4 linked regions of the Caenorhabditis elegans genome follow. The protein of the gene in region 3 interacts with the protein of the main gene of each other region in a biochemical or structural test. Each region holds a gene or a part of one and is shown on either strand. Other genes may lie near its edges.

The links.
Region 1: the proteins of mep-1 (region 3) and pie-1 form a complex in vitro, tested with the Caenorhabditis elegans proteins (one study listed by BioGRID).
Region 2: the proteins of mep-1 (region 3) and egl-27 form a complex in vitro, tested with the Caenorhabditis elegans proteins (one study listed by BioGRID).
Region 4: the proteins of mep-1 (region 3) and mog-4 form a complex in vitro, tested with the Caenorhabditis elegans proteins (one study listed by BioGRID).

What each region holds. Positions count from the first base shown.
Region 1 is NC_003281.10:12,423,106-12,430,845, forward strand, and holds pie-1 (Pharynx and intestine in excess protein 1), read left to right. Parts: upstream 1-3,787; coding exon 3,788-4,072; intron 4,073-4,125; coding exon 4,126-4,233; intron 4,234-4,276; coding exon 4,277-4,402; intron 4,403-5,437; coding exon 5,438-5,526; intron 5,527-5,582; coding exon 5,583-5,982; 3' UTR 5,983-6,090; downstream 6,091-7,740. Other genes in the region: snr-6 (putative small nuclear ribonucleoprotein E), read right to left, coding at 6,190-6,406, 6,454-6,509; Y49E10.16 (Fungal lipase-type domain-containing protein), read left to right, coding at 7,415-7,497. UniProt on the Caenorhabditis elegans protein: Maternally provided pie-1 is required for germline cell fate determination. Functions as a repressor of RNA polymerase II-dependent gene expression in the developing germline. Required for expression of nos-2 in P4 germline blastomere cells.
Region 2 is NC_003280.10:6,832,016-6,839,582, forward strand, and holds the start of egl-27 (Egg-laying defective protein 27), read left to right. Parts: upstream 1-3,005; 5' UTR 3,006-3,065; coding exon 3,066-3,150; intron 3,151-3,439; coding exon 3,440-3,558; intron 3,559-3,571; exon of another isoform or gene 3,572-3,678; intron 3,679-4,611; coding exon 4,612-4,752; intron 4,753-5,836; coding exon 5,837-5,962; intron 5,963-6,011; coding exon 6,012-6,076; intron 6,077-7,567. UniProt on the Caenorhabditis elegans protein: Transcription factor which promotes stress survival and delays aging. Required for cell cycle progression and development of the mesodermal and endodermal embryonic lineages.
Region 3 is NC_003282.8:11,522,964-11,531,515, reverse strand, and holds mep-1 (MOG interacting and ectopic P-granules protein 1), read right to left. Parts: upstream 6,875-8,552; 5' UTR 6,874-6,874; coding exon 6,751-6,873; intron 6,705-6,750; coding exon 6,362-6,704; intron 6,314-6,361; coding exon 5,371-6,313; intron 5,327-5,370; coding exon 4,830-5,326; intron 4,776-4,829; coding exon 4,483-4,775; intron 4,412-4,482; coding exon 3,998-4,411; 3' UTR 3,562-3,997; downstream 1-3,561. Other genes in the region: M04B2.7 (uncharacterized protein), read left to right, coding at 504-638, 685-774; thum-3 (THUMP domain-containing protein), read right to left, coding at 946-1,058, 1,108-1,235, 1,282-1,388, 1,825-2,079, 2,635-2,791, 2,999-3,348, 3,395-3,460. UniProt on the Caenorhabditis elegans protein: Has a broad role in development, specifically in the genetic pathway SynMuvB that negatively regulates specification of the vulval cell fate. Required for fem-3 3'-UTR-mediated repression in the regulation of the sperm/oocyte switch.
Region 4 is NC_003280.10:14,557,294-14,565,085, forward strand, and holds the start of mog-4 (putative pre-mRNA-splicing factor ATP-dependent RNA helicase mog-4), read right to left. Parts: upstream 4,307-7,792; 5' UTR 4,304-4,306; coding exon 2,981-4,303; intron 2,788-2,980; coding exon 2,672-2,787; intron 2,525-2,671; coding exon 2,059-2,524; intron 1,863-2,058; exon of another isoform or gene 1,693-1,862; intron 1,411-1,692; coding exon 1,270-1,410; intron 759-1,269; coding exon 340-758; intron 1-339. UniProt on the Caenorhabditis elegans protein: ATP-binding RNA helicase involved in pre-mRNA splicing. Operates during embryogenesis.

The sequences.
Region 1 (7,740 bases), on a different chromosome or scaffold from region 3:
GGGAAAGGCCTACATAATAGTGGAAATAAACCCAAATTCACGTGGTGTCAGGGGCAGTCCCATAACGGTATGATCTACAAAAAATGCGGGAATTTTTCGAAAACTCTGTATCTCAATTTCCGCATTTATTTTAGATCATGCCGTTATGGGACAGTCTGACACCACCACTGCAACTTTTTCCTCACGAGGGACGAGGAAAAGTGGTTTCTAGGCCATGGCCGAGGGGCCGACAAGTTTCAGCGGCCATTTATCTTGCTTTGTTTTCCGCCTGTTTTCTTTTGTTTTTCACAGCTTTTTCCCGTTTTTTCTTATTAAAACTGATGAATAAATACTTTTTGCAGATGCTAAAACAATTTCCAAGTAAAAAAATTATGTATTCAGTGGGCAAGCAGCGGTGAAAGTGGTCAATGCAATATGATGGATTACGGGAATACAAAACCTATACTTTTTCTGAAACATGATACATATGATGCTTAGATGCTGAAATTACCTGATTTTCATAACGAGACCGCTGAAAAAGTTTTGAGGTTTTCAAAATTCAACTTTTTGTGCGAAAATCTCGACTTTTTCACCAAAAAAGTTGAATTTTGGAAACCTCAAAACTTTTTCAGCGGTCTCGTTATGAAAATCAGGTAGTCTCAGCATTTAAGCAGCATATGTATCATGTTTCAGAAAAATTTAAGGATTTGTATTCCCGTAATCCATCATATTACAATGCCCACTTTCACCGCTGCTTGCCCACTGAATACATGATTTTTTTTACTTGGAAATTGTTTTAGCATCTGCAAAAATATTTATTTATCAGTTTTATTAAGAAAAAACGAAAAAAAAATCGATGAAAAACGAAAGAAAACAGGCGGAAAACAAAGCAAGATAAATGGCCGCTGAAACTTGTCGGCCCCTCGGCCATGGCCTAGAAACCACTTTTCCTCGTCCCTCGTGAGGAAAAAGTTGCAGTGAACACGTGCAAAATGACAACAAGATGGAAGAAAAATTAAATTGAAAATCGTATTCATTTTGAAACAAAAAAGTCTATTCTGGGTTCAAAAAGAAATCGAAACGAAAAAATTTCGCAACAAGAATCATAGTTTGTTCTCTTCGCCTTGAAATACACTCTCACATACAGGTGACGCAGAGGTAAACTGTGATCGGAAGGAATGATGGTAACCTGACTATATTGTGTGTCTGTGTCTCTTCTCTTTTTTTTTTTGTCTGCCTGTATATATTTACACAGCGCCAATAGACCCAGATCGAGGAGAGAAATCGTTGTTTTGAGAAGGTTTTTTAACATTCGAAAATATTAGGAATCGCTGTGAAAACTGAGGAATTTTCCTGCAAAATAGGAGTATTTTATTTGAGAAATTGATTTGCGGAAGATCTCTAAAAGTTACATAAAATTGAAAGTTTTGTGGGGAAATTGTTTTAAAACACGCCTATGGTAATACGAGAACATAAAATTCTGAGAATGCGTATTACACAACATATTCGACGCGCAAAATATAACTATATCTCGTAGCGAAAACTACAGTAATCCTTAAATGACTACTGTAGCGATTGTGTCGATTTACGGGCTCGATTCTCGGAAAAAAAAATCATTTTTCAAATTTTGACAGCGATATTCAATTTTTCTTCGTTTTTTCGTATTTCTCAGTCATTTTTGTGCTTATTTTTAATATTTTATTCATTAATAAATTAATTTAATTGAAAAACGTCCAGACGTATTTTTACATTTCCCGTCTATTTCCGTAATAGGCGGTTAATAACGTAGAAATACGTCTGTATGAGTTTACTCATCAAAATGACACGAATATTGGACGTTTTTAAATCAAATTAATTTATTAATAGGTAAAATATTAAAAAATAAACACAAAAATGACAAAGGAATAGGAAAACACGAAGAGAAATTGAGTATCGCTGTCAAAATTCGAAAAACGTGGATTTTTCCAAGAATCGAGCCCGTAAATCGACACATTCGCTACAGTAGTCATTTAAGGATTATTGTAGTTTTCGCTACGAGATACTTTGCGCGCCAAATATGTTGTGAAATACGCATTCTCAGAATTTTATGTTCCCGTAATACCACAATGACCGAATATCATAATAAAAAAATTCAAAAACAATTTCTAGATTTTATATGATTTTTTGAAAATTGAAAAAATCTCAGTTTTCACCTAATTATATTTGAATTACCGCCAATTGAACTCGTTCGTTGGAGCGCGCTTGCATTATTTTCATTAATTAATTTTATTAATTTTCATTATTTCACTGATTTTCTTCATTTTTGAGGTTTTTTTTATCGGGAAATGAAAGAAATATACAAGAAAAATGCAAAATGTTTATTAAAAACTGAAATTAGTATTTCTCGGAGTTTTAGGCATTTTCAGTTACTTTTTAATAAAGATTTTGCATTTTTCTTGTATATTTCTTTCATTTTCCGATTAAAAAACCCCAAAAATGAAGAAAATCAGTGAAATAATGAAAATTAATTCAAATAACTAATGAAAATAATGCAAGCGCGCTCCAACCAACGAGTTCAATTGGCGGTAATTCAAATATAATTAGGTGAAAACTGAGATTTTTTCAATTTTCAAAAAATCATATAACATCTAGACAATTTTTTTGAATTTTTTTATCATGATATTCGGTCATTGTGTCCCCATAGGCATGTTTTAAAGCAATTTCCACCTTTAAATAAAATCGAGAAAAAATGGCGTCAAAAGACATATGTAAAAGCTGTTTCTCTTTGTATATTCACACAGAATATAGCCCGATTTTGGAGGTGAAAAACCGGTTTTTTTGTATTCTTTACGCCACATAAAGTGATATGGAAGAGAAAATCGACATATTTATGTACTTGGAGTACGAGTACATTGGAGAAAAAGGGTGAACTACTGGAAAATCTGGGAAATTTCAGAAAAAAATTCCGAAAAATCTTTTTTGCTGAAAAAAAAATTTGTTCGAAATTTGGGAAATACTGGAAAATTTTCATCAAAATTAAAGCGATTTTTAACGTTTTTGCTTGGGAGATACTATTTGTAATTTTAATGTTTGGTGAGGACAACAGAAATGACCTTCAGCGTACGGAAAACGATTAAAAGACACATTTGAATCGAAAATAGCGTGAAAAACATGAAAATATCGGAAAAATAGCTTTAAAATTGGATTTGAAAGCAAAAAATGTATCAAAAATCGAGAAAAATGCTTGAAAAAGTTGAAAAACTCAAACAAAAAATCAAAAAAGGTTTTTTTAAAAATCTGTGAGTATCGCAACGAAAGCACAACTTGAGGCATGCGCCTTTAAACCAACCGTAACCAAATTCGGAGGCAAAAAAAGATTTCTCGCTGTTTTTTCAGTTTTAAAATCACTTTTCACGTTTCTTTTCGCAGTAATTCGTTTGCAAAACATCTGAAAAAATTTTATTTTATAAGAAATTATATAAAAATCGCTATAAATTGAGTTTTTGCCCCCAAATTCAGCACGGAGCACTTCTCAATTAAATATAATTTTATTTTTTAACATTGAAAGCTTTCATAAAATTGAGCTTTGTTTGTAAATAATCAGTGAAAAAACACAGAAATCTTCAAAAAATAAAGAAAAAGTTTTTAAAAATCTGTGAGTCCCGCAACGAAAATAAAACTTTAGGCATGCGCCTTTAAACCAACCGTAACCAAATTCGGCGGCAAAAATGGATTTCTCGCCGTTTTTTCAGTTTTACAATCACTTTTTAGGTTTCTTTTTGCAGTATTTCGTTTCCCAAACAATTAAAAATCAAATTTTCTTTTCCAGATGGCTCAAACAAAGCCGATTGCCGAGCAAATGGCTGCACTCAACAACTCAGATGACACGTCGTTCGCTGCCGATCGATCGAACAGTCTTCTGAATGCGACGTGCCCGGCGAGAATTCAAAATTCAGTAGATCAACGGAAAATCAATCGATCATTCAATGATTCGCTGTCGTCCGGATATAGTGGAAAATGGCTTCGTCCAAAGCGTGAAGCGCTCAAGATCACTCCATTGGCTCAGATTGACGAGGCGCCGGCAACTAAAAGACATAGCTCGGCGAAGGATAAGGTTTTGATTTAAAAAAAAAACTGAAAAATATGCAAAATCGATTTTTTTTCCAGCACACAGAATACAAAACGCGACTTTGTGATGCGTTCCGCCGTGAAGGATACTGCCCGTACAACGACAATTGCACATATGCTCACGGACAAGATGAGCTGAGAGTTCCGGTGTGTCTGAAGCCTGGAAATCTTTGGAAAATTTTTTTTTCAGAGACGCCGCCAAGAGTATTATTCCCGAGATCCACCACGTGAGCGCCGTGATTCTCGTTCTAGACGAGACGACGTGGATACAACAATCAATCGATCGAGTTCTTCAGCATCGAAGCATCATGATGAGGTGCTGATCGGATGGAAATTCGCTTTTTTGACAAATTTTCGCAGTTTTTTCGCTAAATTTCATTTAAAATATGCTTATTAACACATTATATCACTATTTAGACGAATATCTTGTAGAAATGTTGGGTTTTGTTCGAATTTTCTCTACTTTTTGAGTTGCTTCACGAAGAAATTGTGTTCTCTTTCATTGTACAGAAGAATCTATGTTTTACAAGGGAAAAAAGTAAGATGGTGCAACATTTTCTCGTGAATCGACTCTAAAAGTAGAGAATTATCGAACAAAACCAACATTTCTACAAGATATTCGCCTAAGTACTGATATTATGTGATAATAAATGAAATTTAGCGAGAAAATACTGCGAAAACGCCTTTTCAGACCCAAAACCGCCTAAATTTCTCGAATTTTCAGGGCTAAATCATTTTAAAACTCCAATTTCGCTCAATTTTCCGTGTCGAGACGGTCCGAAGTTGATTTTCTGGAATTATCATCCTTGTTTTGCATCTTTTAGTAGTTTATCTCAAATTTTTCCCGCCTGCAGACAGATTATGTGAGATAAACTACCAAAATGTGCATTAAATTATGATAATTCCAAAAAAAGTCAACTTTCGGCCGATGCGGCACGAAAAATTGCCAAAATTCGAGGTTTTTAGCTAAAATTATCAAAACTTTGGACAAAAATCATCCATTGCGCAGCGAATTTTTGGGGTTATACGTTCAAAATGTTTATTTTAAAATGAAATTTAACGAGAAAATATAATATACTGCGAAAACGGCTTCTCAGACCAAAAATCGCCCAAAACTCGAATTTTCAGGGCTAAATTGGCTAAAAGTCTTCATTTTTGGCAAGTTCTCCGTGTGGCGACGGAAAAAAAGCCAATTTCTGGCAAAATTGAAGATTTTCAGCTAAAATTAACCCTGTTTTTCAAAATTTTGAACAAAAATCGTCAATTTCAGCGAATTTTTGAGGTTTTACGTTGCAAAAATCCTTATTTTTAAGTGAAATTTAGGGAAAATATTACAATATTTTACTTCCAGAATCGGAGACCCAGCAACAACCACGGAAGCTCGAATCGTCGTCAGATTTGTCACAATTTCGAGAGAGGAAACTGCAGATATGGTCCAAGGTTCTAGGAAATCTGGAATTTTTATTAAAAATAAATAAAATAAATTTTCCTTTCAGATGCCGCTTCATTCACGTCGAACAAATGCAACATTTCAATGCGAATGCGACGGTTTACGCGCCACCTTCTTCCGATTGTCCGCCGCCGATTGCCTACTACCATCATCATCCACAACATCAGCAACAATTCCTGCCATTTCCAATGCCATATTTCTTGGCTCCACCGCCGCAAGCTCAACAAGGAGCTCCTTTTCCAGTGCAATATATTCCACAGCAACATGATTTGATGAATAGCCAGCCAATGTATGCACCAATGGCACCGACATACTACTATCAACCAATTAATTCGAATGGCATGCCCATGATGGATGTGACTATTGATCCGAATGCCACGGGCGGTGCGTTTGAAGTGTTCCCCGATGGATTCTTCTCTCAGCCACCACCAACTATTATTTCCTAATTTTGCCGTATTTTCCATATTTTGTTTTGTATATTTATCCACTCACCCCCTCTCTTTGTCCTGTGAATGAACTTGTGCCAAAAAAGCCAAAAATAATTTACTTTTTTTAAAGACATATTAAAACTTGAAAACTTGGAACAATACGGTGCGAAAGCGAAACAGAGACAGAAAAATGAACAAAGAGATCCGTGAAAAGTGAACGATGATTTAGGCTTCTTGTTGGGCGGCGTGGATGAGAGTGATGTTGTCTCCTTTGAGAAGAATTCTGCCGATCTTGTTGCGTCCCTTCGTCTTCATGTTCACCTCCTCGGCTTCGTCGAACACGACATTCATGAACTCGTCGAATCCGATGATGTAGCCCTCGAGACGGTGGGTGACATCCTCGTACAACCAGATTTGGACCCGAGTGCGGTTTTGGAGATATCTGAAATTTGGGAAATTGTTTTCTACTGATTAGTGAAAAAATATTACCTGAAGATGAGGTTCACAGGCTGAACCATCACTTTGTTGAGCTTTCTCGTCGACATTTTTGCGGGATGATCTGTAAAAATCAATATATTTTTTGAAAGACACAAATTTTTAAGATAAATATCAAGAAAACTCGATTTTAGCAGCTATTTAAGCTCAAAAACTACAATTTATGGCTTTAAAACATAATTTTTCACATTTTACATAAATTTCAACGAAAAAAAATGCCAAAAAACTTCAAATTTGAGCAGAAATCGGCTATTTTCTCGACAAAAATAATTTCGAAAATTCGTTCAAAAAAGATGAGTACGCAAGCACCGTGACGCACAGTTGCGGACTTTGTAAACCGTACCCCTGCATAAAAAGGCGGAATTTTGAATTTAATAAAATGCAGTTTAGAACAAAGAAAAGCACGGAGAGAATTGTGATAACTAATTATTTGTATTTAATTTTAAATACTACATAAAACTGAAGATTGGAACGAGTTAAAGCTGGTATTTGCGGTTTATAGCCCCAAAAGTTAAGGCTTGTTAGGCAATTATCGATAAAAACAACGAGAAATTCGTGAAATCGGCAAAAATTTATAGAAAACGTTTGAATTAAATTAAATTTACGCTTTTGCCGCCAACACCTATCGAGACCCTAGTTATAGGGGCGGAGCGTCATGGGAGCGCGCTTGCAACTCGATTTCAAAAAGTTTCGCTGTTTGTACAACATTCTCAGTTGTTCTTAATCAGTTAAATAAGTTTCAAAATTTTCAAAATCATAAAACACAGTTAATGCTAAATTAAAGTCTAAAAAATCAGGTGATAAGGGGTTTGGACGACCAAAAAGCGACCTTCGCTCGAAAATTGATAAACTAACTACACTTTTTCCGGAAAAATGATGGAAAAATCCTGATTTTCTTCGTTGAATCAATTTTTGTTTCATTTTTAACACTTTCACATGAAATATTTCAGTTAAAATGCTCAAGCTAATTGGGTTTCTTATAATTTTGGGTCTCGCAACGGCCGACAAGTGCTCAGATTGTTTGGCTCAGGGGAAACAGTGAGTTGGAAGCTTACAATTCTGAGAATTCGTATTGCGCAGCTTATTTGACGCGCAAAATATGAAATATCACGTAGCGAAAACTACAGTAATTCTTTAAATAAGACTACTGTAGTGCCTATGTCGATTTACTGCCTCAACTTTCTTAATCAAGCTCGTAAATCGACACCAGCTCTACAGTAGTCATAGTTTTCGCTACGAGATATTTTGCGCGTCAAATATGGTGTGCAATACGCATTTTCA
Region 2 (7,567 bases), on a different chromosome or scaffold from region 3:
CGGTGGTTTTCGGAAAGGAAGATGATTGTTTGTGTGTCAGATAGATATGTGTGTGCGTATGGCTGTTGACTCTTTCTCCTCCTTCCTACCTTCCTGTAGTTGAATAAGTGCTATTTCAGAGTTCATCTCTAACAAATTTCAATACTAAATCTAACTTTGCTACCATCAATTTGATATATGTATACGCGACAATTAAGTGGTTTTACGGATTTGCCACTCAAGACACACAGATGTCTTCTTCTCAGAGCAGACGTTCCTAGATTCTAGATTCTATGAGAAATTTGCTCGCACTTTGTCCATTTTGCTCATCTTCTTTTCCTTTTTTTTCTACTTCTTTTTCTTTTTTCTGCTACTTCTGGAATTCACTTACTGAATCATTCACTACTCTTTCCTCCTCTTTTTGCCAGCGTAATGTAGTGGCTCCTGATTGACTTCCTCTTTTTTCTTTTTTCGCCTCAAAAACCGCGAAACCATTTCCGTTGGTTGCATAAGCCGGCGAACACTCGTCTCCGGAATTCAATGGTTTACTGGATCCCAAGGGGCACTTGTCGCTTTTCTATCTCTTATCCTCTATTCCCTCTATTCATTTTTACAATTTTAACCTTTTTTAAATCCAATCCATTCTCACTTTCCTCCCTGACACATATCACAGAGTTCTCGCTTAATCATCAGCAAGACACATGTGGGAGATCAAGAAGCAATCCACAGATATTAGATGTAAAAAATAACACGAAACTAATCAAAGCTGAACGTGTGTGTGTGTGTGTGTAAAAGACACGGCAATTAATATCGTGGCGAGACCTTCTCTCTTTCTTTTACCGCTCCCGGGGTCCTCCTCAATTCATCCGCTCCTCGAGACGAAGACGTCGACACAATCGGTGTTTATTTTTGCGACGTAGGGCAATTTTACTCGCAAACATATGAGAGGGGAGGCGCCGACGACACCCGGGCGGGCGGCCTGACGAGAGGTTTAGATAGCGGGGGAAATAGAGAAGTTGGAATGAAGCGGCTGCTATTGCTGCCACCGCACGGCAAGAAGCGGACACAATTCAACCCGAAGATATTTTTTATGTGCACCTAGATGAACTCTTTTTGCAAAACCTCTCAATTAGTAGACCTTTGAAACTCAACAACGTTTGGACGAACCTAACTTGACACCGCCGCCTTTTTCTCTAATCTTATCTGATGAAACAGAACATCTGATGTTATCACAATCAATCAAATCTTATTCATCTCTACGAATTCGTAAATGTTTTCACTTACATATAAATTGGAAGAAAAACGGATTATCGTTCCAGAGATCAAAAAATGATGTGCCTCCCCTTTTTTGCAATTAATCCTCAACTCGTATTTCTCTTTGTATGTCTTGAAAATTGAAATTTAGACAGTTTAGTTGTTATCACGTCAGTTTTGTGTATTCCACTTGAACTATCTATCTGGTTGGTTAGTCTCCTCCCACCCATGAGTCTTTCATTTATGTTTGTCTAGCCTGACAATTGACCTGACCACCAACCATCAGGTCTCTCCCACGTTTTGTATTTTTATTATGCACATTACGAACTGTGTGAAAATGGCTGTCGTATCATAATAAATTTTGGAAAAAGAAAACATCTGAAATGTTGCCAGTTCTTTGATTCTCAAAATGTTCAAATGATATTCATAAGACTCTCATCTTGTTTGCCATATTGTCATTAGCAGGTCATCCTCTTCTATTCAATTCTGGCTAATCCCCCGTTCCCCCTTTCTCTTATAATTCATCGTTCCTCACTGTTTGGTTGAATGAAAGAGCACAACAACACTTGTAATGAGTTATTTCATATTTTGAAAAAGTTGCCACGTCATGGAAAGCCAAGACACAGTGGCGGTCTGCTTTGAGGTCGTCACTGTCACCGTCGAACTGTTTTTGATCGCAAACATACATCGGTTGTCTCGTCTCTCGGGTTGTCTCTCTCTACCTCTCTCTCTCTCTTTTCCTTCGGTGACTACCTCTCCTCCCTTCCCGCCACACCGTCCTCCCCCTTCCACCGACTATTCCACCTTTTTGTGGTATGTACTAGCACTATTCTCTGCGTCTGTTTTACAGTTCTCATTCTCTCACACACACTTATTTTTCCCCAATTCTTATGGTAGTTGAATGTGAGTACAGTGTCCACTAGGATCTAGACTTCAGGACTCATTCTGAAAGTTGAGCCGAGGTCACGTGTGAAAACTGAGCTCTTTTCCTACACCTTGCCCCTTCTTGACAATTGTCGTTCTTCCTCTTTCTTATCATCACTTGACTTTTTTGAGCGACATGCTGGACAAGACAAGTCGTTTAATGGATGATGTTGCGATTTACTATCATCTGTTAGTATGCGCTAAGTAGGTGCGAACGTATGACGAGTTACAGTAATTTATTAAGCTTGAAGGTTTTTGAAGGATTTTATGAAGTTTGATCAAGTTCTTGAGTTAAGTAAACATTTTCTCTTGTGATCTTAATTGATTGTGAAAATAGTGAACAATTCAAGTTCTTGAAAAGATTTGATTTGTGTAAGTTAGAAAATGTGTGTTACCAATTACTGTTGTATTTGACTTCTAATGGATCTTCCGAGTCAATCAGATTCCTTGGCGCTCGGTGGTCCTGCTCCTGCTGCTAAATACACCAAAATATTTGATGAATGCGGTGCGACGGCGATGCCGCCAATGTCTCTTTTCCTAACGGACCAGTCGTGTATGTGCTCTGTGTATGTGCCCCACTAACCGACGACGACGACCCTCGCCCGCCCCACGCCACTCCCACACCCCACCCCGTCTTCATCCCTTTCCTCTCTCCCGTCTTCCTTTCTTCTATCCCTCGGTGCTGTTCTAGTTTGTGTTTTTACTAGGCTCTAGAGGGTTCCGGAGGGAAAGAAAAAAGAACTTCTGTGCTTTTCATCACCATCTTCCTCTCTCATCTCATCTTTTCATTTTTTATCCAGCTGATTTTCGTGTGTTCTCAATGATTCAAATTAAGACCAATTCTTTAGGATAGTTCATCATTTTTGGGGGAGCAAACTGGAAAAACTAAAAAAGGCAACAAGACAAAGATGAGCCGCTTTGACAGCCAGTGCAGTAGTGAAGACGTCAACAAAGAGGACGAATGTGTGCCGTCGTCATCTGAGGATAGCCAAGGTAATGAAATTGTAACTGAACCGTCTCTGTGTCTTCTTGTATGTCATGTCAACCTAGATACGGGTATTCCCAGTGGGGGCCGTTCTTTTAGAAAGATGGCCCCATCTTCACCAGCGTAAAATGTTATGATTCTCGCTGCGGATTAGCGCTTAGCGGATTAGTCGAACAAATGTACGAACACATAAGAAGACACATGCGGCAATTCTTTTTTGTAACTTTTGATTGTGTGATCTAGATTCTAAAGACCGCCTACTTGAAATAATTTAAAATATAAATTATCAAATTTCAGACGGCGTTTCTTCCCCAATGGAAAACGATGACGAACCAGAATTTTCCCAAAAGCATTACGATATTGAACCATGTTATTATAGTCTTACAGGCAAATCGGATAGGAATTGCCGTGGAATAGTAAGTCATTTTTTAATTCAAAAATCTGAAATTTGAGTAATTTCCTGTACTCTTTAATAGTTATAATCTGAATAGACATCTTATGTATGCGTATCTTCTTCCCCTTCAATATCTCAACACTCGAAAAACCAATTAATTGTCGTTCTGTCGAGTTTTTGGAAGAGACACAGACATTTAGGCAGTTTAGTGTGTAGGGGAGGTCAAAAGGAAGAGGAGACGCTGGTCATAATTCAAATTCTCTCCCGATTAGACGAACATCGCTACAAATAGACAAAAACCTGGATTTCAATCTTTTTTCACCCGTTTTTTCTGCGAAACGTTTTGATGGCTAAACCTCAAACATTGCGCTTACACACACACACATTGCGAGCTTCAAATCGAGAAGAACCAGATAGTCAAACACTGAGAAGATCGCGAGCCGAAAAAAAAACCGAAGTGACCTCTCTTCTCGTTTCGTCAAAAATTGAAAATTGAACTTTGACTAGATTAGTTGTCAGTCGGCAGCATACTTCCTCGAATTGTGCGCATGTTTTCCAAAAAAAAGCGAAGCGAGGCAAAAACAGCTGCCCAATTTTTGATCTGAAATTCGAGACAATTGCTTTTTTCTGGCTGGCAAGGAAAGCAAAGTCAACAGAAGTTTTCGGAGACCCCAGAGAGATGCTTCTTCCCTCAAGAGAGTACAAACAAAAGAGACGCTTGAGAGTTAAAAAGATAGATACTATGCGACAATAGACACACAAACACAAAAAAACATTTTTTGCCGCATTATATGATTTGTTTGTTTGTTTTGAAATGTGCGCTCATAATATTTCATTCTCTCACAGTTTAGTGTTAGTTGGCATTGACCTAGTGTGAGACGAGGTGCCAATTGACAACTGAAGCTAATGAGAGGAGAGACGCAGACGACAAGTACAAGTGAACACTAGTTCATTTCACCTCAAAGATACAGAGAAACCGGAAAGATAAATAAGACAGACTAGTTTCTAATATAATATCGTTAGTTGAAAGTTTGAAACATACAAATCTACTGATTTACTAAACATATTTTTTCAGGTATACCGGTATCGACAAGACAGTGATCTAAAAGGGTTTCAATCACATGATGGCACATTGTACAGGCTACGAGATTCAGTATTCGTAGAAGTGTCACAAAACGAGCCGTATGTGATAGCGGCAATATGCGGATTTAAATATGTGAGTAATGAGATCGTGAGGCATGTCAGCAGATGGTTCTGCCATATTAAGGTTTTTGAAATAATTGTTTCTTGGAAACTTGTTCCTCAAAAATCAGAACCACAATAGATCAAATCGTTCCACAGTGTTACAATGAAATATTTATATAATGGGCAACACTCAGTGAATGTAGCGATAAGATAACAAATTCGGCATTTAAAAATTAATGTTGCGAGAAACCGGGTGATGTTTGACAATTTCGAAATAAATTGATAGAAAAGGGGGTTTAAGGACAAATTGAACTTTTTGGAAAATGAAAAATGAGGTTTTCTTTTTGAAACTAGAGATTCTTTGATACTTTATAATCTCTGCTGACCTCTTCTCAAATTCCAAACAACTATCAATTTACTTGTTCTCTATATCTCTTCATTCCCTTGTTCCTTGAACTACTGGTTTAGAGGAGGAGAGAACCGCACTTGTGTAAATATTGACACAGTTTTAGTGGGTTCATGTATTCCCTTCATGTTTTCCTTTCGACTGATAGCACTGAATACTTTTTTAAACATAAAAGTATAAGGAAGATGTCATTGAGTCATTTGCCCACTTGTTCGTCCTTCAGAACCCACTAAAAACCGTGTCATAATCGGATTGCGCGGGAAGTCGTTGAGAATTAGAGAATGCATTGAAAGTGAAAAAACATAAACTTTTTAATTCAAACACTTTTATAGTATCATCACAAAAACATACATTTTAGTATACACAATAAAAGTAGAAAGTTTGCTCACTTTTATGAGCTGTGAGAAGAACATAATGTTCCTCTTTGTTGTTGACAAAGCACATTCACGTGACCAACTGATGAGCTTATTTTAGAATTTAAATAGGAAATTGGGATAACTAGTTTTTAAAGCCAAAATTCTAAGAGCAACAAAATTACAATATTTTCTAGTTTTGACAACGCAGGGATAATTTTTCTTCTGGATTTTCAAAGCCGAAAACTGAGTTTATCAAAAAAGGTAAATTCCTTTGACAGGGCTACACATAGTATTCAAAAAATGATAAGAGATTATATATTTTTCAAAACAAAATAAAGAATACCAATTTTCAGACAAAACGAGATCACGTGGTAGTGAAACTTACGAGGTACTTCAGAGCAGACGATATACCTGAGATATCTTTAAATTTAATGAAACAAGAACGAGCTGAGCTTGAAATCAATCCACATTTATGTCCAGTTAGTTTAATTTTTAAGATTTTCAGAATTACTCACATTTATTTTTCAGCAATCATTAAATCGAGAATTATTTAATTCGGAATTACAAATTACACAACCAGTTTCATGTTTAAGGTGAGTTCTTTTTTAAATTTAAAATACTAAAAAAATTGAAATTAAAATAACTTTAAAATAATTGAAACACTGGAAAAATTCTTTGCCCCTTGACATGATTCGTTTTCAAAGTTAAAATATTAGAATTTTGAAAATGAGTTCTCAAGTGCCTCAGAATTTTCCAGGTTTAGGTGGTAGGCGTCAGAACTACCTGCCTACTTTATCTTGGCAATTCTCATTAATACTTATTATTTGCAACAATTATCACGTGGTTTCAGCCATTAATTATTTTTCCGTTCGTTGAGATCTATCAGTTTTGGCTACTCAATCATCTTTCACTTTCCTTCCGATCTCTTTTGTCCTCTGTGTGTGTATGTGCACATTTCCCCTGGGACCGAATTAATTGATGTGACGAAGAGAGCGCGGACGGGGTGGGAGTGTTGTACGTGTTGGAAAATGGTGGAAATAGCGGCCGAAACATCAATTATTCCACTTGTTTATCGTCCTCGTTTCACCATCAACCTTCTCATTTCATTTCCTCGTTGTTTTAATAACTTGTAAAAACAAGACGACCCCGTTTTTTGAGCTTTTCCGCTAATTTCTCCGCCTGCGTTCTCTGCACTCTCTCGAGCTGTTGCAAGCTCAATTTAATAAAAAGGCACCCGCTGCTCGGCCACCCGATTGGAAGAGAAGGATGTCGGAAACGACCACAACACAACAAATCACATTTTTATTGCAAACTTTGTGTTCTCTTCCTCCCTCTTTTAACTCTTTCTTCTCGTTTACATATGCGCAACATTTCTTTTTGTAACCAAGACGCCGTGGCTCTTGTCGTCTGAGCTCTACTCATTTTCCAATCAGCTTGTTCGTTTTTGGATGTATTAAGCTTTTCCAGCTTATCCAGATAATCTTTTGATACCTTTGAATTACCACACTGATTTATTTTTCTCTTTGACGTTGTTTCTACACTACACTCGTGTTTCTCAACACACTGGTTAAGCATCTCGTATTTCAATGTTCCAAGTGTGCCACCGCCATCTGCGTCCGGTCGTCGACTTCTTTTTCTTGGCCTCCCCGTCATATGACGCGGCAAACCGGAGAGAGTGTATTTCCGTCTCATCCCTCTTTTCCTCTTCGCCATCACCATTTCCTTAGGTTTTTTGCCTCGTTTTCGCGATGTCTACGTCTATTTTTTGAAACGAATCCCTTTTGGCAGGTTGCCAACAATACTCTTTTCTCCCTCTTTCTCTCTTTTTTTGGTCTATTTTTGAGCGCTCCCACGAATTTAATTGCAAATTTTGTACTTTTTTTAAGAATCTTATCTTTCTCTTTTTTCCAAATTAATCGTTCCAAATTTGGAAATAATCAGTTTTTAATAGCTATTATACTTAAAACAAACAGAGAGTAGTGTTCAGGTTTTTGCAACGTGGATTTTTTTTTTGAAAAACTAGACGTATACTATTTTTCTTCAATTATAGTCATACTTGTAAATTGAAAGTTAAACGTTTCAAA
Region 3 (8,552 bases):
TAAAAAAGAGACCGTAACCCGCTATCAGAAACTTGTTCTCGCGGCGAGACCCATCTGAATAAATCCATGCGCCTTTAAAACTGCGTTTCAGAAATTGGCAAAACTACAATAGAAATTTTAAAAAAAAACATTTTGTTTTAAATTGTATTTCATGGCTTTTAAATGCTTTCTAACGAAATGACACATAATTTCTAATAAAATTTGTCTCAAATGTCTCTTAATTCTGTAGTTTGAAAGTCAGATTTGTAGATTTACTGACAAGAGATTTGCACCGCTCATTTTTGATTTTTACGAAAGATTAGACAGTTTGACCCAAATTGCCTAAAAATTTAAATAAATGCCTAAAAATTTAAATAAATTTGAAAGTGACGGATTGAATTCAAAATTAGTGCTTCAGGCTCTAGAGGAAGTCGGTGGATGATAATCCACCAACGTTGACAACATGAGGTAGCTACCTCAGTTTCAGATAAAAATTATTTGTATGAAAACATTTTTTTTTTCAGAAATCCGAATGTGATCGAATAACTCGTGCAGTTTGCGTTCCCACTCAAAGTTCAATATTCTTTCAACCAATTCCACCGAAAGCAAAATCAGTTCGATGTAACAGTGATGTACTGAAAGCAGTGAATGCAAGTGAAGTAAGTATTAAATCAAATAAAAATATATTTGAACAATTTTTTATAGGTATTATTTCATTTTGCTCAACTACCAACAATCGAAAAAATCAATAATAATAACAATAAAAAATCATTGCACTTCATTCATCGAGTTTAGATTTTCGTGATTCCTCTCATCCATCTTCGCCATTTCTCTTTTCAAACCGGTGTCTTCTATTTGATCATGTTCACTTTTAAATTTTGTGCCTTTTATGTGAAACCAGCCAATGAATTTTTGATTTATTCATTGAATTTTATAAACAAAACAAGCATGTTAAAAATTTGAAATCTAATCAGATTTTCTATTTATCATGCAGATACAAAGACATGATAATCCACCAACGTTGACAACATGAGACGCGTCAGTTTGCCATGAAGACCGATCTTTTAGGAATGAGTTTTCTACAAATATTAAATAATTATTCTGGTTTTTAAAGTTTTTTCACAATACCTAAACTCCGTTTATCATGAGTCATCAAGACTAATCGTCCACCTTTCCTTAAAACTCGTTTCCATTCTGCGAGAAGCCTCGGGTACAGTAACCTGTTATCTGTGGTACTTCCTATCTTCTTGCCAAATCTGAAATATAAATGTTTTTAAGTGGAAAAATCGTTGAAATGATTACGGTAGATCCGTGACAAGTGCATCGATTGAATTATCGCGTAGTGGAAGATTTGTAGCATCCCAAGTGAGAAAGTCGCAGTTTGATCGGGAGCTCGATGAATTCGCCGACTTAAAATATTTATTATTTAAAAATGGCAAATTTTCAATTGTGGCTAATCTACTCATTTTTGAAATAATTTCGACACAAATTCTTCGTTTTGCTTCTAATTTAAAAAAACAACTATTTTTCCGGCAAATCGGCAAACCGGCAATCTACCGAAAAATTTTGGGAAACTATGGTTTTGCACATTTTTTGTGAAATTATGGAATTTCAATTTTAACAGGAAATGTTTTAAAAAGGCACAGTTTTATCCCTCTAAAGACTTTCGGCAAATTGATGTTCGGAAAACGGCAAATCGGCAATTTGCTGAATTTGTCGACAAAAAATTGCCGAACGCCAAATGCGAGACGAAACGAATAATTTACGCCGAAAATGATAAAAACACGGAAATGGGCGGAGTTTCGAGACGAACCCGCGGTAATTCAAATTTTCGTTTTTTCTTACCCAATTCTGTAGACATCTGCTCATTGCCATCTCATGATTATCTCCACCCAAAAATAATGAATTTTTCCATGAAATTGCCCCTTCAATCGGAATAGAGCCACCTCCACACATTGCATCGACAATAATATCTCCTGGTTTTATATCAGCTAATTGAAGCATGCAATGACACATTGTAGATCTCATTGTAGTTGGTCCATACGCACAGATATTACGTTTGAATAGAGATTCTTCGTTCAGAGCCATCATTACTGTCATCTGAAAATATGAATGAATTAGAAGAAATTCAAAGAAAACAGCTGACCAGAAATTCTACAAAATGAGCCAGCGTGGAATATTTTCCCAATTTTTTTCATTAAAAGTTCTTGATAGAATACTGTATTTAAAAAATTTGATTTATCTGAAAATTTTTTCCAACTAAAATGCTAGCTATTTTCAGATAAAGCAAATTCCTAAATTTTAATGAGAGATATTGGGAGCAAGGGTGCGAAAATTTTTCGATTTTTCAAATATCGAAAAATTAAAAAATGTATTTTATCGTTTTTTCGATTTTCAAAAATTATCTTAATATTTTGGTCATTATTCCTCTTTTTAGAAAATTTTTATGTTTTTTCTTATCTAAATATCAATATATTAGATTTTAAAAAAAATCATATTTTATGGTTGATTTTCTGAATTTTTTTTTTGGTTTTTGAAAATCGAAAAATCAAAAATTTTCGTTTTTCGATTTTCACTGAAAAAAATCGAAAAATTCCACCATTGATTGGGAGAACACTATCTCATTTTGTAAAATTGCAGGTACACCGATCTTACATTATTCCGATCAATCCTTAATACTACTTCTATATCGAACTCTTTGACACTACATTTCCAACCAAAAGCATTATTAATTTCAGCTCCAAACTTCGAAGCAGCATCCATTGAACTGAATTTGTGAATCTCTTTCTCTCCACATCGTTTGCATGTTACTCTGAAAAAAAAGTCATCATAACTTTTGAAAAATAAAAATTATTAGGAAAAAAAATAATTGAAATTTTATTTCAAAACTAAAATTTTGAATTGTAATTTTTGTGAGATGTACCAAATTTTTTCAGTTTAAAACCACAATAAAATTTCGAATTTTTAATTTTTTTTGAAAATTTTAATAAGGATTTTTGATATTGATTTCAAAAATTACCTAAACTTGGGTGAATCGTCCGTAACTTCACTATATATTCGATCTTTTTTAAATTGTTGAATCTGTTTCAAAATCTTTTCACTTCCTCCGTTAATCGCGTTTCCACGTGCCAATTGATAAGCTTCAATTGCCAATTTCCAGTTACAAAATGAAATTTGCGATTGAATAGTTTTCAATGCATCTTCTTTTTGCATTTCAGACAGCTTTTCAATTGTTTCTTCATAAAAAACCATATAAAGATTATCGATTGATCGAAGTTGCAGAGTCTCGTTTACACGTTCCAGATCTATTGAAAATCTTACATTTCCACGTCCTGGATGGCATTTTTTAGGCGAAAATAATTTTGAAATCTGAAGGAACTCGAGTAAGATATTTTATCTAGTTTTCAGGATTTACCTCTTTTGCTGCAACTTTTTCAAAACCGGTGATGACAGCAGCACAGATTTCAACGGAGTCTGTCATTTGTCTGAATATCTTTCGTATCTGTTGAAATAGATTCCTCCAAATATTATGAGAAAATCTGAATCTTATTTCTGAAAATAGTTTCAAAAAGAATGGTTTGTAAAGGTGATAATATTTATATGATAGATATCTTCCAAAAATCTTAACTGGACAAATGGTAAAAAAAGTATGAGATGGGGGAGAACAACAGACGTATGAAGTGAAAGTGTATACTGATCTGTCTTATGGGGAATTGCAATTTGATTTTACATGATAATTGTGGGGTAGTTAGGTTTTGAAAAAAAAATAGGGAGTTTTGAAGGTAGGGGAAGATGCGAGAATAAACCAGATATCATGAAGAGAAAAATTGGGGAAATAAAGTAAAGTACTGATTGATTTCGGTTCCGGAACCCGCAATAGAATGTGTATATCAATGAAAGTGGGAGAACTGGTGATTTAAAATGATTGAATGTAAAGAATAAGAGAAATAATTGAGATCATTGTGAAGAATGTTTCCAGCACTCATTCGTAGAACGGGATAAGCCATTCGTTTTCCTATTAATCATCCAGAGTAATACAATCATCTTTTTTTGCTGGTGTTGATGTCTTCTTATCTCCTTTTGGGTGATTTGAAGTGAGATGGGCTTCCAGAGTCTGATAACTCGAGCATTTGAACGCGCACACATCGCACGAGTACATGATTTCAGCCGAGCACAACTTCACTTGATGATCAGCTACCAAGTGTTGAAGCATGTTGAACGCATAGTTCTTGCCGCATGTCTTGCATCGACCTCCGTCTTCCTTCTTTTGCGCTTTGAGGAGCAGATCAGCAGTGACGAGACCATGCGACATCACCAAGTGCCGCTCCAACCCTTCATAAGTCCAGAATCTGTCACGGCATCGAGAACATGCCAGTGGAGCTCCTTGCGACATGTCCTGCAGCACTTTTCCAACCATCTGCTTATGAGTAGTCTGAAAATGTGATGTTTAAGATATTTAATAATCGGTTTTGAAATTGAAATAGAAACGTTTCTTAAAATTACCTGAAGATGCTGTAGATACTTCTCCTTTTCCTGCACTGACGCATCACAAATTTCGCATACAAACGTGGGAGCTGAAGAAGAGCCAACAGTAGCATGAGACGGCGTAGTAACAAGTTTCGAACTTCTGTGTGTTGGCGTCTTTTGACTGTTCTGGCTTCTCATGGAGTTCACCGCAGCCTGAAGTTGTTGAGCTCCTTGTTGCGACTTCAAAGCTGCCATTTGCTTTTGGAGAAGTTGAGAAACTGCCAGCGAATTTCCTTGTTGACCACCTCTACGCAACGACGCTTGCATTGCTGAAATATAAATAATTATACAAAATACTTATTTAAAATATGTTTAGCTATTACCTGCAATCAGAGTGTTATGATTCACATTTCCTTGATTCTGCTGTGCACGTTGAGCCTGCGCTGATTGTTGTTGCAGCAGTTGAGCCACTTGCCGGAATTGGGCCGCTTGCTGTTGCTCACGAAGACGAGCCTGTTGCTGTTGTTGTTGCTGTTGTAATTGTTGCTTCCGTAAGAGTTGCGCAGCGGCTGCAGCTTGTGCTGCTTGCTGTTGATGCAGAAGTTGCTGTTGCTTCTTTTGTTGAGCTTGCTGAAGAGCAGCTTGTTGCTGCTGTTGAAGAATGCTGGGATCCAATTGGGGCCTCTCCCAGAGCCATCTGTTGATATAGAGATGATCGTCTTGCTTCGGCATCATGATGTTTCGAATGCGAATGTAGTCCTTCTTGCACTGCTTGTAATGCTGCTCACGGACACCTTTGAAATTGAAGTCTTCTTCGCAGATTGCACATGGATACTTGGACTCCTTCTCTTCCGATTTTGCAATAACAAGATGAGTTTCGCTGTAATTAAATGAATATTGAAAGATGAAAAAAAAAAAACTTACAAGTAGTGATCCTTCATTCTTTGCTCACTCGTGTCCGTCTCTTTACACATGGTGCACTGGAATTTGGATCCTGTGAAGTGCAAATTCTCCTTGTGAGTGCTCATAACCAGCTTTGATTCCGTCTGGAATCCACAGACGTCGCATCGATGCATTTTCAACTTGTACGGCTCATTTTTGCGTTTCAATGTCTCCCAAACTGGTTTCAACTGCGCAGCGACTTGCTTATAGGTTTCAAGATTTTTTGGCACCTCTGGAAGATTCTTCGCGTGAACTATATCACAATAGGTAGCTTCTTGAACGAGATCCTGTCCAATGTCCACGAGCAGTTTTGTCATATTTGGAACAGGATTATGTTGTTTCAGCTGAGCTCTCTCTCGTTTCTCGGAATCACTCAACTTTGGTCTTTCTTCTCCAAACATCCTGTTGATAACCTTCGTCAAAGGCATTTCGGGATCGTGCTCAATCAATAAGTCGCAAACTTGACTTGGTGGGAATGATATTGTGTTTGGGAGAACGAGAACTTTGTCCAGGATCAGCTTCCGAACCGACAGAGGCTCCTTTTGAACTTGCGCATTGATTGCTCCGAGAAGAGTGTCCAGAACTTTTCGGCTTTTGCTGGATGGTTGATCCTTCTGCTCCTTCACATACTCTTCCAGCTTGTCGAGCAATCTCTTCTGCGCCTGCTCATTGTTGTCCTCTTCTGGAACGCTTGTCGCCTTGACATCATCAATTTTAGCTTTTTTAGCTGGGGCAGGGGTAGAAATTTCCTGAATCTCGTCATCATCGTCGTCGTCGAGTTCGATGCATTCGACAGGCCGCTTCACACCCTTCCCATTCTGTTCGACAGGCATTGAAGAATCTTCTGGCTCTTTCTCTGTAGCGATCTCAGTTGTTCCGTTTACGGAAGGTTCTGGCTCCTCTTCATCTAGCACCTCCTCAGTAACTGAAAATAGAAAGTTAAAATTAAACTTGGTAAAATTATAAAACACACCTGTTCCGTTGGCAGTATCCTCCGACTTTCCGTTCGGCTCCTCAGTGATTTCCATAACATCGCCATCATCGTCTTGTTCAATCTCAGATGATGCCACAGTCACTTCGGAAGCCCCCTCATCCTTTTTACGCGCTTCCTCTTCGATTGGAACCGATGTAGATGCAGCATCACCGTTTTCATCAGATCCATCAGGTGAGGGATCCGTAGACTCTTCGGTGTCATCTATCTCGATCACTTCCACGTCTGCAGATGCCGCTTCCTCTTTTCCGTTCTCTTGATTTCCGTTGACTTCGGAACCATTCGCCGCGTCGGCCATCACTTCGCGCTGTTCTGCCTTCAGCTGCTGAAAACGTTTTATTCAGATTTAAATTCCCAAAACTTTTCCTCACCTCAATTGTGTCTGGCTCCGAATCTGAGGACGATTCACCAGCGCTTCTCGGATCCGTTGGTTCCACAGACATGGAAGTGGTGTTGGTCGTTGTGGCGAGTACCGTCTCGTCGGCGGTGACCATTCTGGAAAAATAGAGTCTAGATAGTGAGAAATAGGCAAAGAGAGAGTGATGAGAAGGAAGCAAATTAGGACAGTTACAGTCGGAGAGGTGGGAGATTCAAACTGGTAGGAATAAAATGCGCGCGCGCGGCAAGCCAGATTTGAACGCACAAGAGAACCAGCTGTGGTAAGTGACTGAGTATCAAACGTGGTACGCAGCCAAATCGGCCTCTCTCCTCCCCTTCCTCGGCCGCTGGTCGCAGCCGCCGACGCTGAGAAGAAGGGTGAGCAGCACTCGTCCTGCTCGCATGCGTCTCTTCACTGGCAGTACTCTCTCATCGGTCCGTCCTGGTATTCCGCGTCGGGAGCGTCAACAGAATCATGCTTCAATCACCAAAAAATAAGCCGGGCAACTTGTAGCAATTGGAATTTACAAACACATTTTGTTAGAGCGCTGCGTACTTCATTATGATTCATCCGAAAAGTTCATCAAAATGATTTACTGTAACGATAAAGGCAGATAAATTTAAAACAGTTAATTTTAAAAGTTCAAGCACGCAACCTAATTACACAATCTGATATATCCATTATACTGATTCTCAAAGCGAATAAACCGGGGCTCACTATTAATTACGAAAACCGAAAAGTTTGAACACGTCCCACCCGGGCGGTGCGGATGGCGACGGCGCGGTGTGTGAGGCGAAATGATGTGTGTATGTCATGAGTGTGTGAGCGTTCCGTGAGCGCATGAATGAGTGTTTTGTGAGCGTGACGTGCGTGGCGACGGGTTGTTGTGGTCTCGCCATCATAACCTTAAATGGTCTAAAAATTCATAACCGCCATTGTCGGTTAGGCCGGGTGCTGTCTTTATGGGCTGCGAACTATCTTCTACCAGGAAGACGCCCGTTCCTAAAACTTGAGAATCAGCTAAATATTTCTATAGCGTTTTCTAGGAAATTTCTACAGGCCTTAAATATAAATTCCGATTAAACATTAAACGAAAATCTAAGATGTTGAAAGGATCGTGTTAGGATCAGCGCTATATCAGCTGGAAGTGTGAATTCCTTTGCATCTAGAATACAAATGATAGTAACCTGAACTAAATTCGGTGCATTTCAATTGAAGTTGGCGTCTTTCTTCATTCTCAAGTTAAATCGAATTCTCGTAGGTTTGTAAATTTTTGATAAAAATTAGAACCTGATTTCGTAATTTAGGTTTCTGTGAGATTCAGCAGTTCTAGGATACATTCGAAAAGTTTGTGAGAGAAAAGTTATGACTATTCATGTTTTGAAACGATAATGACCTTATAATCATGAGGATCAACATTTCTGAGGATATACTACTCGCTGGGCACTATAAACTAATGGAAAAACTGCATTTCTGAAAAAAAGTGACACAATGAAGAAAGATATTTGCAAGATCAGTCAATGTGGGATTGACACCGTTGTATTTATTAATTGAGTATTTCCTCGGGTCTCGCCACGAAATCGCAACAGGTGCAGTTTCGATAGCAAGGGAGTGAACGTTGGTTCTCAGCCACACATTCGCTCAATTTGAAATTTTTGTGTTTTCAAGATTCAATTGCAGCTAAATAGAGAACCGAATATTCATTCTCGACGGGTTACTGTATTGTCGAAACAGATGGATGAAACGTCATATAAAAGCTATAACACTAGAATCAGCAGGTGGAAAAACTCGGAC
Region 4 (7,792 bases), on a different chromosome or scaffold from region 3:
CAAATTTATTTGTAGAAAATGGAGGAATCAGAAATTTTTTTTTTCATGATTTCAAATTTTTTTCTAGTTTTTAAAATTATTCTATCTATTTTCATGGGATTTTTCGAGAAAATTTTCTTCGTTTTCCAAATTTTTTATTGCATTTTTTGAAATTTGGAAAATGGTTTTCACAATATTTTCTTCAATTTTCAATTATTTTTCCAGTTGTTCTATATAAATTCTTCAATTTTGCCATTTTTCCAAAAGCTTTTTCCAACTTTTTAAAAAAACTTCACTTTTATGCAAAATTTCGGTTCAGCAAAAAAAAAAAATTATTTTCATAAATCTTCCAGAACAAACCTATAAAACACAGCTGCATTACACGAAAGCATTGCCGCAATCGTTACAATTTCCTCGGAACACTCATACTTCTCACTGGCGATAATCATTTTACTCATACACGGATCACACGGAAATTCAGCCATTCGTCGTCCCAACTTTGTCAGCTCTCCACGATGATTCAGTGCTCCGAGAGCATAGAGTTGTTCGAGTGCAATGACAAGCGTCTCCTGTGGTGGAGGATCCAAAAAATCGAAATGAACGAGATCATGGATGCCTAGTGACTTGAGCATTAGCACCACATTTCCCAAATTTGTTCGCTGGATTTCGGGGATCGGTTGCTCTTCGAGCTCATGCTTATAGGCCCACGCTGTGTAGAGTCTGAAGCATTTTCCGGGTCCAGTACGACCGGCACGACCGGCTCGTTGATTTGCGGCAGCCTGAAATTTACATTTTCTAAAATCTTTAAAATTTTTTCAGATTCCTCTTTAATATTTGAGATATTTTAATTTTCAGATTTTCCAAAAAATTTAAAAAAGTTTTTTGATGACTTTTTAGATGTTTCTATTAATATTTAGATTTTTCTGGATTTTTTCCAGACTTTTCTCGAAATTTTCATATTTTTCTGGAATTTTTACATTTTTCTATAAAATTACAGACTTTTTGAAACCTTTCAGAATTTTTTTGATCTGTTAGATTGTTCAGAAAAAATTCAGATTTTTTCCAAGAAATAAAAAAAAAGTTTTTGATGATATTTTAAATATTCAGATTTTTATGGAATTTTTCCATTTTTCAATAAAATTACAGATTATTCTGGAATCTTTTAGTTGATTTATTTTTTCAATCTTATAGATTTTTCTGGAAGTTTTCCTATTTATCTGAACATTAATTCAGAGCTTAATTTTTTAAAGTAATTTTTTTCAAGTTTAAGAGAAAAAAAAAGAAAATTACCTTGGAAATAGTGACAACATGCAAATGTTCAACACCACTTCGTGCATCAAATGAGTTTTGTTTCGAGAATCCTGGATCAATTACATAGTTGATACCATCAATTGTGACTGAAGTTTCAGCAATGTTAGTTGCTAGGACCACCTGAAATTTAGAGAAATTTGGGAAACTAGAAATGCGTGGAATGTTTTGATTAACTTAAAATTATCTTGAAAATGTTATTTTAAAAATTCACCGAACCAAATTTGGACTTTTTGATATTTTAAAATTCTTTGCTTTTTCTTTGAAATTAAAAAAATAATTTTTTGCAAAAAATTTAGTGGTAAATTCATAGTGATTTTAAGGAAATCCCAAAAAAAAAAATGTAAATTCAATTTATTTTAATTTTCAGATGTTTCAAAAGATTTTTTTTCTGTTAATATTTCTGGATTTTTTCAGAATTTTCTCGAAATTTTTGATATTTTTCTGGAATGCTTACATTTTCTATAAAATTTTATAAAATTATCACAATTTTCAGAAATTTCAAATTTTTCAGTTTAGAAATTTTCAAAGAACAGAGCATTTTTTAAAGTGTTTTTTTTGCAGATACGAGAGGATAGCAATTTCAGATTTTTCAATAAACTTTCCGAAACATTTATTTTTTAAATTGGAAAACTTCAAATTTGTTCAGTTTTGTTAAATCTAAACGTTTGCTAAAAAACTAGTTAGGAATAAAATGAAACAGTTTTTGCCTGAAATTTTGTAGATTTTTCTCGGATTTTTTTTTGGAAAAAATTTGTAAGAAAAATCTACCTTTCTCGCATCTTTCGGCGTTGGCTCGAAAATCTTCGCCTGCAAATCACTGGGCAAATTCGCATAAACCGGCAGCGGAATAAGCTCCTTAATCTTCGATCCCAGTGCTTTCGACCGTTCCATAAGTGCTTCCTGTACAGTTTCGATTTCTTCCTGACCAGTCAGAAATACCAAAATATCGCCGGGAAGTGGCTGGGTCAAGTGAATCTGCATAATTGTGACGATAGCCGCGTCGACGTAGTCCGCTTCGGGAGCCTGTGTATAGTAAATGTCCACCGGGAATCTGCGTCCCGGAATTCGGAAAATCGGAGCGTCGTCGAAGAAACTGGAGAACTTTTCAGCGTCAAGTGTTGCAGAAGAGATGAGAAGCTTCAAATCCTTTCGGAATCTTGCAATATCTTTGACTAAACCGAATAGAATATCCGTGTGTAGAGTACGTTCGTGAGCCTCGTCAATCATCATTACACTGGAAACAGGATTTTTTTTCGTTTTTTTTTGGGTTTATTCGAAGTATTGATTAAAATTTAAGAGCGATCGATTTTTTTCTTAATTAAAAACAAAAATCCTGAATGTTTGGTTTTTTTGCTGTTTTTGTAAATGTTCTAAAAATTACCTATAACTAGCCAAATCGGGTTCGTTGAGAAACTCTCTGAGCAGCATTCCGTCTGTCATGTATTTGAGGACAGTCTTCTCCGATGTGCAATCCTCGAAACGAATACTGTAGCCGACCTGGAAAATGGAAGCGTTTCGAAAGAAAAATCGGAATCTGTTTTCCTCGTTTTTTTACAAGTTTAAAAATTTTTAGAAGCGGCAAAGAATTGCCCAAATTTTTTTAACTTCCAGTTTTTTTTTCTAAATTTTGGAATTTTCCGACTAGAATGAAACTTAGTTTATTTTCGCCAATTTCCAAAAACCACCCAACCTGAGTGCCCAGCTTGCATCCAACTTCATCAGCAACTCTAGCGGCAACCGACATTGCGGCGACACGTCTCGGCTGCGTACATCCGATACGCTTCCCACCTTCACAAAATCCAGCTTCATAAAGATACTGTGGTAGCTGTGTCGTCTTTCCCGATCCGGTTTCTCCCTCGATAATGAGCACTTGATGCTCTTTAACAGCTTCGATGAAAGCATCACGGAATGCGTAGACCGGCAACGACTTTCTCGTTTCTTCAATTGACATTTTCTTTTTCTCGGCTTCTGTCTCTACTACTTCCTCATTGGTTCCAGGCATCTGAAGAGCCTGAATAAAGTCCACTTTCTCATCAAGCAACAGCTCAAACTCTTGCTCCTTCCGCTTCGCATCCTTGGCTCCCAGGTGAAGCATCGAGGCCATCAGCTGCTCCTCTTCCCACTTTGCACCATCACCGCCTGGCCTGAAGTCCTCCTCATCATCCTCCACGTACTGTGAAGGGATCTGTTTCGTTGAGGCGTCCGGCAGATGATATCTCTTCATTTTCATGACGTCACCGGCTTTTCCATGGGCTTTCGTGTATTCGAGAACTTTTTTCCGGTACTCCATATCCGCTTTTTCACGTTTCGTGAGCTTCTCCCTAGCGAATAGAGTTTGATCATCGTGAACTATCGCCTCCAGTTCCTCCAGCTTGTCGACTTTTCGTTTTTTCAGGTACTGCCTTCTGGACTCCTCTCGGAGTTTGTCCATGGAGGAACCCTCTTTGTCCTTGTTATCATCTCGCTTTTTCTCCATAACATTTCGAGTTTTATCCTTTTCTTTTTTGTTAATTCGTGCTGCCAAGGCGTCTCTTTCAGCGATATCTGCGTCCAGCTTTGCCTCCATCGCCTCTATATCGGACTCAGAATCGTCGGATTTTGAAGGTTTCACAGATTTTCCTGGTTTACTAGCTTTAATCGGAGCTTCATCGTCTTCACTACTGCTCTCTTTTCTTTTTCTGACATTTTTGGTTTTTGTGGAGCTCGCCGAATAATCCTCCAACACTCCGACCGCCCGATTCAGACGGTTTAGCTCCTGCTCGGCAAGCTCTGCTGTTGTCGGACCACGTTGTCGCGCTGAAGTTGCCTGCCGGGGCATTCGACTCATCAGCTGATCTGCGAATGACTGGATCGCTGGGGAAATCGGAAAATCTCCGGCGTCACGCAGTTTTTCCACTAAATCCGGCGCGCTTTTCGCCTTTTTTGCTAGTGCGTGCACGTATTGACATATTGATCGATCGCTGATACCCACGATTGAGTGTAGTTGGTCGTTGATGAATTGTTCCACGGACATTATCTGGAAAGTTGGATAATTACAGGAAAATTGAAATTATTAAGTGATGAATAATGATTTTTCAACAAAATTTTAGTTGAAAACCACGAAAAAATTCGAAACTCCTTGAGAAACTCATAAAAATCTATGAAAAACAAAAATAAATAAATAAAAATTATTTTTCGAAAGCGCCGGCAATTGTGTGCAAACACCGTCACGTCGGATTGCAGACCCGAGGAATTTCGGATACACGGGGAGGCAAAGCTAACGTGGCTGAAGAAATTTCTACAGTAGTCCCATTTGGCTGACTGAATATTCAACGCGAATAAGTTTTGTACACTATTGCGTACTCTGCGTACGCGCATTTTATTTGACGACAATTCGTTAATATCAGCTCTGGCTAAAAGCGCTTTTCTCATTATTTAAGCGAATAAAAGTCGAAAAAAAAATGTTTTGTGATACAGAATAGTAATTTAAAAAATAAAAAAGTGCATATTTTATGTTTCTCATTATGTTTCCACTGATTTTCTGAGAAAAACCGAAAATTTCCTCTTTTTTCGATGAATTTTAGCTGAATAGTTTGTTTTTATCTAGTTTTTCTTCCGATTGACTGAATAACACATTTAATAACATCAATATAACGTTTAAAACATTCATTGTCTCGAAAACCAATATAAAACTCGTCAGAGAGGGATACTAAGTAGATATGCTGAACAAGGAAATGAGAGAGAAGAACATTAACCGAATGGGGAGGGGGAATAAAAAATCTGAACAGGAACGGAATATAAAGAACATTATTAGAAAGAACAAGCATGGCTTGATCTTCTTGGCAGTCGTCTCCTTATCCTATCACTTCTTCTCGGCGTCCTTTTGATCATGCTACCGAGCAACGTGGCACGATCGAAGAGTTTCACAACGTTTTGATACTTTCGATCCACGAGTCGGGCTCCCAATTCAGCGAGGGTCCTCTCACGAAGCGTGTCGCATTTCTAGGAAATTTAGAAATTTTTAATTTTTAAAAATTAAAAAATAAGTAACACCTCAAGAATTCCATCGAAGTTTTGCTCCTTTGCAATAAGACGAACTTTTTTTTTACGGAATTGAACAGGTACGGCATGAAAACGGCTTCCTCGTTGAACGATGTTGAAGCTCCTTCACCATTGCACCTGAAAATCAACTTCTAAATTTTCAAATTTAAAGAAAATCCACATACTTATCCTCGGAAACGAATCCAATATTCTGGTTGCTGAGTGGAATTGCTTCAAAGATTTTGATCAGATTTTTTTTTGAAATTTTCGATCACACATCTTGTATCCACCAAATCGCCGAGTGCTTCATGAACTTCAGACTTGTGCTTTCCAACCTCTTCCATGAGCTCCACCTCTTCTGCTTGGAACTTTTGATTGCCTTCGGACCGATCTGACTTGTAGTTTCTTCTCAAATAGTGGCTGATTGAGCAGTTGATCTTGCAGTCCTACTTTCTTTGGCTTCTTCTGCGGCACTTGAGCCCTTAAGAGCACTTATTGCTGCTTAACCTTCCTTATTAATACTTCGAACAGCTTCTTCTTGTTCGCATCTATTTCGAATTTTGTCTTGAAATCTTCCAATGCAGCGACAACGTAATATCTGGAAATTATAAAAACATTAAGAGAAAATATTTTGAAAAAAAAATCGAAAATTGCACTGAATTCCTAGATTTTTCATTAAAATCGAAAAAAAAATTATGAAATACGTGAGATTGAGTTTCAAATGTTACTAATTCAGAATCAGCATATATTTTTCTATATTTGAGTGGGTTTTCAGAAATATTGTACCATAATTTTTGGAAAAATTAAATTTTAATTCGAAATTGCACTGAATTTCTCGAATTTTTCACTAAAATCGAGAAACTAAATATGAAATACGCGAAATTGAGGTTCAAGACTTTTAATTCAGAATCAGCATATATTTTTCTATATTTGAGTGGGTTTTCAGAAATATTGTACCATAATTTTTGGAAAAATTTAATTTTTAATTCGAAATTGCACTGAATTTCTCGAATTTTTCACTAAAATCGAGAAACTAAATATGAAATACGCGAGATTGAGATTCAAGACTTTTAAATTCGGAATCAGCACATATTTTTCCATATTTGAGTAGGTTTTCAGAAATATTGTACCATATTTTTTCGAGATATTTTGAATAATAACTTACTTTTCGACGTTTTTTGCCTTTGTCCGGTTTAATCCATCGAATTTCGAAGCGGTTTGCGTAGATTAGCTGAAAACATTATGCTTATTCCACGTAGTAACAAGAAAAAACAAGAAAAAACAAGAAAAAACAAAGAAAAATAAGCATATAAGTCAAATTAAAAATGTTTATTCGATCAAAATTCTTAACCATAGGAGGCGGTGGCCTAGCCGGCGCAGCTCTCGCGGCCACGTTAGCTTTGCCTCCCCGTGCGATAGTTTTCATATGTATATTTTCAGAGAAATCTTTTATTAATGAAAAAAACATATTCAAACTTTGTGAATCTGAAGAACAATATCGATTAAAAACAAAAATTAAAAAAAAAAACACGGATAAATTAAAGACTAGTAGGTCTGTAAACTTTTTTCAAAATATATATGCGCCTTTAAAGGAGTACGGTAGAATTTTAGAATATTTTATTGTGATTTATTGCGAAAATAATAAAAAAAATAGACCGCAAAGGAACAAAATTAAATAAAATTGATAAATATTAAATCGAATTGGATAAACATTTACAACGAATAATCTGGATTATAATGCATTGCACAGTCTGCTGAAAAATAGTTCATTTTCAATAAGTTCCTGTCATTTTATTATGTTCTTAAGAAAGCTATACCTTTACTTTAGTTTTCCGTGCACGTCATAATATTTGTTTAAATACAAAATTTTTTTTGCATTCAAGTTTTTTGGAGGAATATTGGGGTGGGGTTAGTAAAGAGATGTGATTGGGGTACTGTAGGATGATTATAGTTTCAGAAAAACTGAGTTTTTGTCTTCTGAAGTGATATAGGGTTGAAGTTAATAAAGGGGTGTGGTCGAGATACTGTAGTGTGTAGTACTGTAGAAGGAGTGTAGGATTACTGTAGAGCTACTGTAGTAAAGACTGCATGGAAACTGCAGGAGTACGGTAGTGTTGGAAAAATTGACAATTCGTCTTTTGAAGTGATATTGAATTGAGGTTCGTGGAGGGATATGGGGGTACTGTAGTGGTGCTGATACTGTATGATTACTGTAAAAATAGTTAGTATCGTATAGTGTTTAGTCTTCCTATTCGCTTCGAGACCCATAACTGCAAGACAAATGCATGATTTTCAAAAAAAAAAATTAAATCGATTGTTGTCCTTCAGAATATTTTTTAGCAGGCAATGAACGTTAAGATTTTAACAAAATTCGCCGAAGTTTAAATTTGTAAATTTCAAAACACATTGTCTTGGCGGAAAATTCCAAACTTAATTTTTTGCTTTGAGTAACTTTAAGAAAATTCTGGATATTTTTAGAATC